Macaca fascicularis: one gene and its partner. Each later gene encodes a partner of the first gene's protein in a complex. Links are inferred from orthologs where the notes say so. Each region holds a gene or a part of one and is shown in the gene's direction. Other genes may lie near its edges.

The links.
Region 2: MED7 (region 1) and MED20 share a complex: the UniProt entries of both Homo sapiens proteins name them as parts of the mediator complex. The link is inferred for Macaca fascicularis from reciprocal best matches to the Homo sapiens genes MED7 and MED20.

What each region holds. Positions count from the first base shown.
Region 1 is NC_088380.1:163,931,831-163,936,108, reverse strand, and holds the start of MED7 (mediator of RNA polymerase II transcription subunit 7), read left to right. Parts: upstream 1-1,401; 5' UTR 1,402-1,460; exon of another isoform or gene 1,461-1,856; intron 1,857-4,278. UniProt on the Homo sapiens protein: Component of the Mediator complex, a coactivator involved in the regulated transcription of nearly all RNA polymerase II-dependent genes.
Region 2 is NC_088378.1:129,647,895-129,652,364, forward strand, and holds the start of MED20 (mediator of RNA polymerase II transcription subunit 20), read left to right. Parts: upstream 1-1,371; 5' UTR 1,372-1,472; coding exon 1,473-1,486; exon of another isoform or gene 1,487-2,109; intron 2,110-4,470. Other genes in the region: BYSL (bystin), read right to left, coding at 663-930. UniProt on the Homo sapiens protein: Component of the Mediator complex, a coactivator involved in the regulated transcription of nearly all RNA polymerase II-dependent genes.

The sequences.
Region 1 (4,278 bases):
AAGAGCGTTAAGATTGGTTTTATATTTTAAGAAGGTGTGGTAAATAGACTAAGGCAGGACAAAAATCAAAGAAATCCAGATGAGAGATAATGGCAGCATGGCATAGGACCATACCAGTAGGGACGGTGGTCAGTCATATTTGGAACTTTATTTACTTATTTTTAAATAGAGCTAATGCAAAAGGCTGGTATGGTAGTTTCGGTGGGGTATGGGAGAAAGGAGAAAAAGGTGATTCCTTAGATTGAACATTTGCAATTGAGTAAAGTGCAACGGGGTAAAGATGTCTGTCACCACTGGATATGAGGGTCTGAAGTGCAGAGGAAACGGTGTTCCAGGGCCTGCATGTATCTGGGTGATATCTGACTGAGAAGTGGTTGGAGAACTGAGTCCTGGGGCAATCCAAATAATCAAATGTGCCAAATGCTGCTGACAGAGGGAGTAAAACGAGGACTGGGAACAAGCATTGGAAGTCACGGGTGCAGGACATATTGGGGTCAGCAGTGAGGATGAATTTCTTCAGGAAATAAATTTATATGTGCGGGGGAATTAAAATGGGGGAGGCCGGGCTACGTGGTTCACGCCCGTAATTCCAGCACTTTGGGTGGCCAAGGCGGGCGGATCACTGTAGGTCAGGAGCTCGAGACCAGCCTCACCAACATGGTGAAACCCTGTCTCTACTAAAAATACAAAAAAAGGAAAAAAAAAAAAATTAGTCGGGTGTGGTGGCACATGCCTGTAATCCCAGCTACTTGGGAGGCTGAGGCACGCGAATCGCTTGAACCCCGGAGACAGAGGTTGCAGCGAGCCGAAATCGCGCCACTGCACTCCAGCCTGGGCGAAAGACACTCCGTCTCAAAGAAAAAAAAAAAAAAAATAAAACAAAATAAACCAACAAAAAACCCTGCATATCTGTATTTTCGAATTTTTATGTAAGATGTCTTCATTGTATGGGTTAAATTAAAAAAGAAAAGACAAAAGGAATGGAACTACCAGCTGCGACTGTCAGCAGAAGAGTTGTAATGCGGGCAGCGGGTGGAACACACGAACAACCTTTGCTAGGTTTTCTTTGGGAGGTTATTTTCGCGTCATAAATGTCTAAATTCATGGAAGTCTTACAAGAGCATGTTACATATTAAAATATAAGATTTTTTCTAGTCAATAAGGGGTCTATAAAAAATAAAGCAATAAGATGTCTTGTTTAATTTTATGCCTTAAAGAAACGAAGAAACAACCCTCACTTACTACTTTTAAAAGTCAGTAAAAGGGGTGGCGATGGCAGGAGTCGAATATACGCAGGCGCAATAGCGAGCGATCGGTCTGAGGCGGATCTAGAATCTCGTTAAAGGACAGCTCCTACAGCCAATCAAAGACAGAGTCGGTGGCTTCTTCCAGGAGGAGACCGGAAATTGGTTTCGGCTGCAGAGGGGGAAGGCGGCTACCAGTGTAAAGCCAGAGTTGAGGTGAGTGGGCGGCAACGGCTTGGGGCCCCTGCGTGTGTGCGTTTTTTTCTTCCGGACCCCGCGGTTTCCTCTGTGCTGGGCTGGGAACTGGGGAGGCATGGAGGAGTTCGGCCTCCGAAGACGCTCTCTCGTCTTTCTGTCCCGAGTCTCTCCGAGAGCGCGGCCTCCCCGCCGCTCGTGGAGGTCTCGGGATGGACAGCCTGGAGGAGGGGGCTCTTAGCGCTGCAGTCCCAGGGCTTCCTCCGTGTGGGGACGCCGAGCCGGAGTGGAGGTTGGGAGACGTGGTGTCTAGTCCCCTCGCCGCTGTTTTTCTAGGCTGTGTGGCCTTGGGCGAGTTATTTGCCCTTTCTGGCCCTTTGTAACATGAGAGTAGCCCTCCCTGCCCTTCCTTCTTCTGGGAGCAGTTGTGAAACAGCTGAGATACGGGGGCAGGCGAGGGCAGTAGATCCCAACCAAGCCTAATCGTCAGGTCCATCTGGAGAGGTTTTTAAAGCGACATACCAGGGCCCATTCACAGTGGACAGAATGAATCAAATCTCTGGGGCTGGGACCCTGGAATATCTGTCGTCTTCTGGTGAGGCGCCTTCTCCCCCAGAACAAACACTAGATGTTGGATCTTGAGTCTGAGAACCAGTTATGATGCTTTGCTCTGGTTTTATTAAAATAAGACTTCCATCGCCTTTGAAAAGTTCCATCTAGAGAGACAGTAGAGAAAAATATAATTTTTGTAATATGCAAGTTCTAATTGTACAATTAGATGCTTCACGGCTTAGAGATATAAGAGAGCTTGCCCTTTGGAGCTAAAGGGACCTGGGATAAGAATTCCTGTTGTACCATTTATTAACTTTTTGATCTGGGGCAACACTTCCCCTCATTGAGACTTGGGATCTTCACCTCTAAAATGAAATTGATAATAGAACTTAATTCATGGGACCCTGTGGTGGCTCACGCCTATAATCCCAGCACTTTGGGAGGCCGAGGTGGGCGGATCACTTGAGGTCGGGAGTTCCAGACCAGCCTGGCCAACATGGTGAAAACCTGTCTTTACCGAGAAATAAAAAATTAGCTGGGCGTGGTGGCACACACTTGTAGTCCCTAGCTACTCAGGAGGGTCATGCAGGTGAATCCCTTGAACCCGGGAGGCAGAGGTTGCGGTGAGCCCTGATCATACCACTGCCCTCCAGCGTGGGAGACAGATTGAGACCTTGTCTCAAAAAACAAAACAAACAACCTTAATTCATAGAATTGTTATGAAGATTATGTTAGAGAGGCCATAAAACAACAGTATCTGTCACGTAGTTGCCTTAGGAAAATGACAACCTAAGTACAGGAATGCACATCGTGTAGGAAAGTACAGAGCAGCACTCGTCACCTAAAAAGGTTTGAGTGGAATGAAACGTAAGGTGTCAAAAATTGTGTTTTGAAGTACCAGATCAATGTTAATTCCTTGATTTTGGTAATTGTGCTGTGGGTAGAAGAAAACATTCTTGTCCTGGGAAAACACATTGAAGTATTCAGGGGTGAAGGAATGAGAAACCAATAAAGCAAATGAAGGAAAATGTTAACATTTGGAGAATCTGAGTGAAGAATATGAAGTGTTCTTTGTATATGCATGCACTTTTTCTGTAATCTGAATTTATGTTATAAGTTTTAAAATGTTGGCTGGGAGTGGTGGCTCACACCTGTAGTCCCAGCACTTTGGGAGGCCAAGGCAGGAGGATTGCTTGACCTCAGGAGTTCAAAACCACCCGGAGTAACATGGCAAAACTCTGTCTCTACAAAATATACAAAAATTAGCTGGGCGTGGTGACATTTGCCTCGTACTCCCAGCTGCTTGGGAGGTTGAGGTGGGAGGATGGCTTGAGCCTGGGAGGTCGAGGCTGCATCATCCTATGCACTACTGTGGCATGGTGGAAACTCAGGGCTGCACCATGCCTGCCCTTAGTACCTCACGAATTCTAAGTATAATATTGCTTCTAATAGAATACTTGCCCCACCTGATGTTAGAGGGTGTTATATCTTGAAACTTTGATAATACCAGTGTAAAGGAGCACTTCAGAATCTTCTCATTGGATGGTATATCTAGGCTTAAGGTAGAGTAAGTAGAGGTTATTATGGCCATAGAAGATACTGGGTTTGAACCTGGGGTTTGAAATTTCTGTGATAGTTGTAGGGAAGTTAATGTGTCCATACAGGCCGGGCGCGGTGGCTCACACCTGTAATCCCAGCACTTTGGGAGGCCAGGGTGGGCGGATCACCTGAGGTGGGGAATTAAGAGACCAACTTGGCCAACATGGCGAAATCCTGTCTCTACTAAAAATACAAAAATTAGCCGGGCATGGTGGTGTGCGCCTGTAATCCCAGCTACTTGGGAGGCTGAGGCAGAAGAATTGCTTGAGCCCAGGAGGCGGAGGTTGCAGTGAGCTGAGATCGCACCACTGCACTCCAGCCTGGGCATCAGAGCAAGACTCCGTCTCAAAAAAAAGAAAAAAAAAGTTAATGTGTCCATATAAAATTGCATAGTTTACTGTGACAAAAAGGATATGGAACTGAATCATTTCATTCAGGAACTTTGGATAATACCATGTGTTTAGTATTTAGCAGTGTTAATTTTGTCAGTGTTTATGAGAGATACAAGTAAGTGTTTGCTATTGGAAATCAATCTGTAACATAAAGCAAAAGTGATTGTGATACGAGATTGGGAGACAACATGTGTAGTTTGGTTATGGAGGAGTAGAGAAATGGGGGCATAAATGGTGAAGGGTGTGGAATCCAGAAGATTTTCTTGTTTTTTTTTTGAGACAGATTTTCGCTCTGT
Region 2 (4,470 bases), on another chromosome or scaffold:
TATTGCTTTAGATGAGATCTGGAAAACGGATGAAGCATCTCAGAGGTCAACACTCCCTCCCTAGCGAGAAAATATCAAACGTCTTTCATCTCTCTCCCTCTTTGGCTGCTAAACAATGTGTTTTCTGCTCATAACACTTCCCATTCGTTTTTCAGTTCTCAACTTAAAAGGTCCTGCTGCAATCGGAGAAGCTTCTCAAGACCAATGCTATTGTTACCAGGGAAGCGACACTTTATCATAGAAAAATATTATTCTAAGAGTCTACTTAATTGACTCTCTACTGGGCTTGACTGTAAGGTCCTTAAGTCAGACGTGCCTATGTTGTTTACTTCTGTACCCAAACATTCGATAGAACTCCGAGCATAGTACAAAGCTCGTAGTGGGTATCCCATATATATTTACAAAACCAATGGATAAATGCTAGGGTGGAGCGAGCGATTACTGTTGGCCTAACTTAGGGGATGTGTAGAAGGGAGTGCCTAAAACTAGGAGTGGACGCGGAGGGCTCTGAACAGGGTTCAGTCTCCCATTCCATTACTTTTGCAAGTGTAATACGGACCCTTTGTTGACTCGAAGCAATTCCCCTGCCAGACACTTTTTAGCTGTCCACCCCGCCCCACTACTGGCCACTGTCTTCCTCGGATCTCATCCCAGACACTCACCCAGCCGCGTGGTGCGTTCCCGCGACGCCGCGGGCTTGTCCCCAGTCCCATGCTCGGCCTCGAGCTCCTCCTGTTGCTGCCGTGCTTGCTGCAAAATCCGCCGGCTCAGCCGGGGTCCCACATACTCTTCCTCCGTTTCTCCGGTCCTGCGACCCCGCCGCTTCTCCCGGACCCCTGCCCGCACCGCATTCCCAGCCAGGATCTGATCGGCCAGGGGCGCATGTTTTTCCTGACCCCCGACCCCACGGGCCGCCTTCAATTTGGGCATTTTTCTCGAAAACGTTGCCGCGGAGGTTCGCACGTGGAGACGGCGAAAAAGCCAGATTGCGCTTGCGCGGTGGACTCCCGGCTCTCAAGAGGCCACGCGGCGATCACAGCGCCCCCTAGCATTCGGAGGCCAGAAGCGCCATCAGCGCCGCCCCTCCCACTAAAAGAGCTCCCGGGTTCCGGTGCTGGACTCCCCAATATATTTACAGCCTTTAACGTTAGCTTCTCTCAACAGTGCAGTCTTTGAGTGTCGCTCTTAGCTTCATGGGTCTAGGCCTAGAGTGCTCAGCCAAACGAGAATGTCTGGATTTAGAAACCTGTGGGCGGGAATCCGCAGATGATGTCACTAGAGGTGTCACCGAGGGGCCCTGAGACCCGCCCCACTCCTTGGGGAAGGCGTGGACCCGGCGCTCTGTTTTTACGTATTTCCGGAGTCTCTTCCGAGACCGAAGGTTGTGTTGGGGAACTGAAGCAGTTTCTGTGGGCGGATAGGGAACCCTGCGTTTCTACCGTGTGATCCGGCCGCCTTCCTGGCCCGACGCCATGGGAGTGACTTGGTAGGACTGCAGGGGGTTTTGTAGGGCGGAGCTTGGAGTTGTGAAGGGCCGAAAAGAGGACCTTGACCGTGGTCCGCCGTCCCCTGGGAGCTGTCCTCGGGTTGTGTGGATGAGAGGATGCCGTGCGAGCCGCGGGTTCCCCGGCCTTGTTTCCTCGGAGATGCGCCCCTTCCTCTTGGAAGGCGGGAAAGCAAAGCGAAGTTTTTTTTTTTTTTTTTTTTTTTTCTTTAAGACGGAGTCTCGCTCTGTCGCCAGGCTGGAGTGCAGTGGTGCGATCTTGGCTCACTGCACCCTCCGCCTCTTGGGTTCAAGCGATTCTCCTGCCTCAGCCTTCCGAGTAGCTGGGACTACAGGCGCCCACCACCACGCCCGGCTATTTTTTGTATTTTTAGTAGAAATGGGATTTCACCATATTGGCCAGGCTGGTGTCGACAAAGCAAAGTTTTTTGTTTTTTTTTTTGTTTGTTTGTTTGTTTTTGAGACGGAGTCTCGCTCTGTCACCCAGGCTGGAGTGCAGTGGCCGGATCTCAGCTCACTGCAAGCTCCGCCTCCCGGGTTCACGCCATTCTCCTGCCTCAGCCTCCCGAGTAGCTGGGACTACAGGCGCCTGCCACCTCGCCCGGGTAAGTTTTTTGTATTTTTAGTAGAGACGGGGTTTCACCGTGTTAGCCAGGATGGTCTCGATCTCCTGACCTCGTGATCCGCCCGTCTCGGCCTCCCAAAGTGCTGGGATTACAGGCTTGAGCCACCGCGCCCGGCCGACAAAGCAAAGTTTTTATCCCAGGAACCTATCAATGGTTGTGTACCTCATTCCCTTCTAGATTTATTTTCCTTCCCGTGAGGCCATAGTACTGCCCGCAATGGGACGTCAGGGTTGGAAATAGGGTCTTTGGACTGTGACCCACCTGCAGACAGGGTTAGAGGGAGTGTGTTATAAGCAATCAGGAAACAGTATTTTTAAAGATTTTCTTTATTTTTCTTTATTTCTTTTTCTTTCTTTCTTTTTTTTTTTTTTGAGACGGAGTTTCGCTCTTGTTGCCCAGACTGGAGTGCAATGGCGCGATCTCGGCTCACAGCAACCTCCGCCTCGCGGGTTCAAGCCATTCTCCTTCCTCAGACTCCGGAGTAGCTGGGATTACAGGCATGCGTCACCACGCCCGGCTAATTTTGTATTTTTGGTAGAGACGGGGTTTCTCCATGTTGGTCAGGCTGGTCTCGAACTCCAGACCTCAGGTGATCCGCCCGCTTCGGCCTCCCAAAGTGCTGGGATTACAGACGTGAGCCACCGCGACCGGCCAAGATTTTTGCCTACCCTTCCCTCAGCCATCAAATGCAGTTAGACCAGCTTGTGTCTGTTTCTAATTTGCCCATTTTAAGATCTTGGGTCCAGAGGGAAAAAGAGGCTATTGAAAATAAGGAGATCATGGTTCCAGGCACTTTATCTCTTTAGGACCCGTTTCCCACTATGTTTAATTCCATGGTTAGTCTAGTTTCAGAGGAGTTTTTATCTTTCATAGGTTTTAAGTCTCCGTTGGAAGAAGATGAGGTAGCAGGGAAAGGTATGGGTCCAGTGCTTGTGGAGGCGTTAGTTGTAAGGTGCCAGGTCCCAGAACATTTTTTTCTTATCTCAGTAGATGTGAGCATTTTTCCCCGTGGGAGAAACCCAGAGGCCAGGATATCTGAAGCCAGTGGCTATAGGCTTCTCATACAAAAGCATGTGTAGGGGAAATACTTTTCCTCCTGGTAGCCCAGGTTCTTGCAGGTTTCTCAGTGATTGCACTCTTGTTTCCCACAGTTCACATCATGATCCTCCTGTGTTCCTTAATGGAAGCAAGATATGTGAGGGATGGAAATAGAAAGGATGCAGCGTAGAACCCTGGAACCCCATGCTCTTTTTTAAATAAATAGAAATGGGTTCTTGCTGTTTTGTACATCCAGGTCTTGAATTCCTGAACTCAAGCGAGCCTCCTGCTTTGGTGTCCCAAAGTATTGGCATTACAGACACGAGCCACCGTGCCCAGCCACCCCTGCTTTTTAAATGGAGAAGGCAGGCCGGGCGCGGTGGCTCAAGCCTGTAATCCCAGCACTTTGGGAGGCCGAGACGGGCGGATCACGAGGTCAGGAGATCGAGACCATCCTGGCTAACACGGTGAAACCCCGTCTCTATTAAGAAATACAAAAAACTAGCCGGGCGAGGTGGCGGGCGCCTGTAGTCCCAGCTACTCGGGAGGCTGAGGCCGGAGAATGGCGTAAACCCGGGAGGCGGAGCTTGCAGTGAGCAGAGATCCGGCCACTGCACTCCAGCCTGGGTGACAGAGCGAGACTCCGTCTCAAAAAAAAAAAAAATAAATAAATAAATAAATAAATAAATAAATGGAGAAGGCAGCTCCAGGGCAAGGGCTCTCTGTTGGCACCCTTATCAACGTTTTCAGAATCCTAGGACTTCTGTCCCTTGTAGCGTCAGTTTAGGGATTCTTTTATATTTCAACATAAGGCACATTAGCAACATTGTTTATCAGTGCTTTTTCTGATAGAGTAGTGACAATTTTTAGCAACAGAAGGACTCTACCCTAATAGATTCATTTAGTTGATCATAAAGCAATGTCATCTATGACTGTTTTCTTGATTTCTATATAGCTAAGTACTGCCTGTACTATTGTTTATTAATTTTTTAAATTGATCTTTTCCTTAAAAATGTTTTAACAGGCACTACATCCCTATACAGGCAGTCTAGTTAGTGGTTAAGAGCATGGACATGAAACCAGGTTGCTGGGCTTTGAGTCTTGGGTGTACCACGCATTAACTGTGTGACCTAGTGCAAGTTATTTAACCTCTTTGTACTGTACTTAAATTTCCTCTTTTTTTTTTCTTTTTGAGATGGAGTTTCGCTCTTGTTGTCCAGACTGGAAGGCAGTGGTGCGATCTTGGCTCACTGCAACCTCCGCCTCCTGGTTTCAAGCAATTCTCCTGCCTCAGCCTCCCAT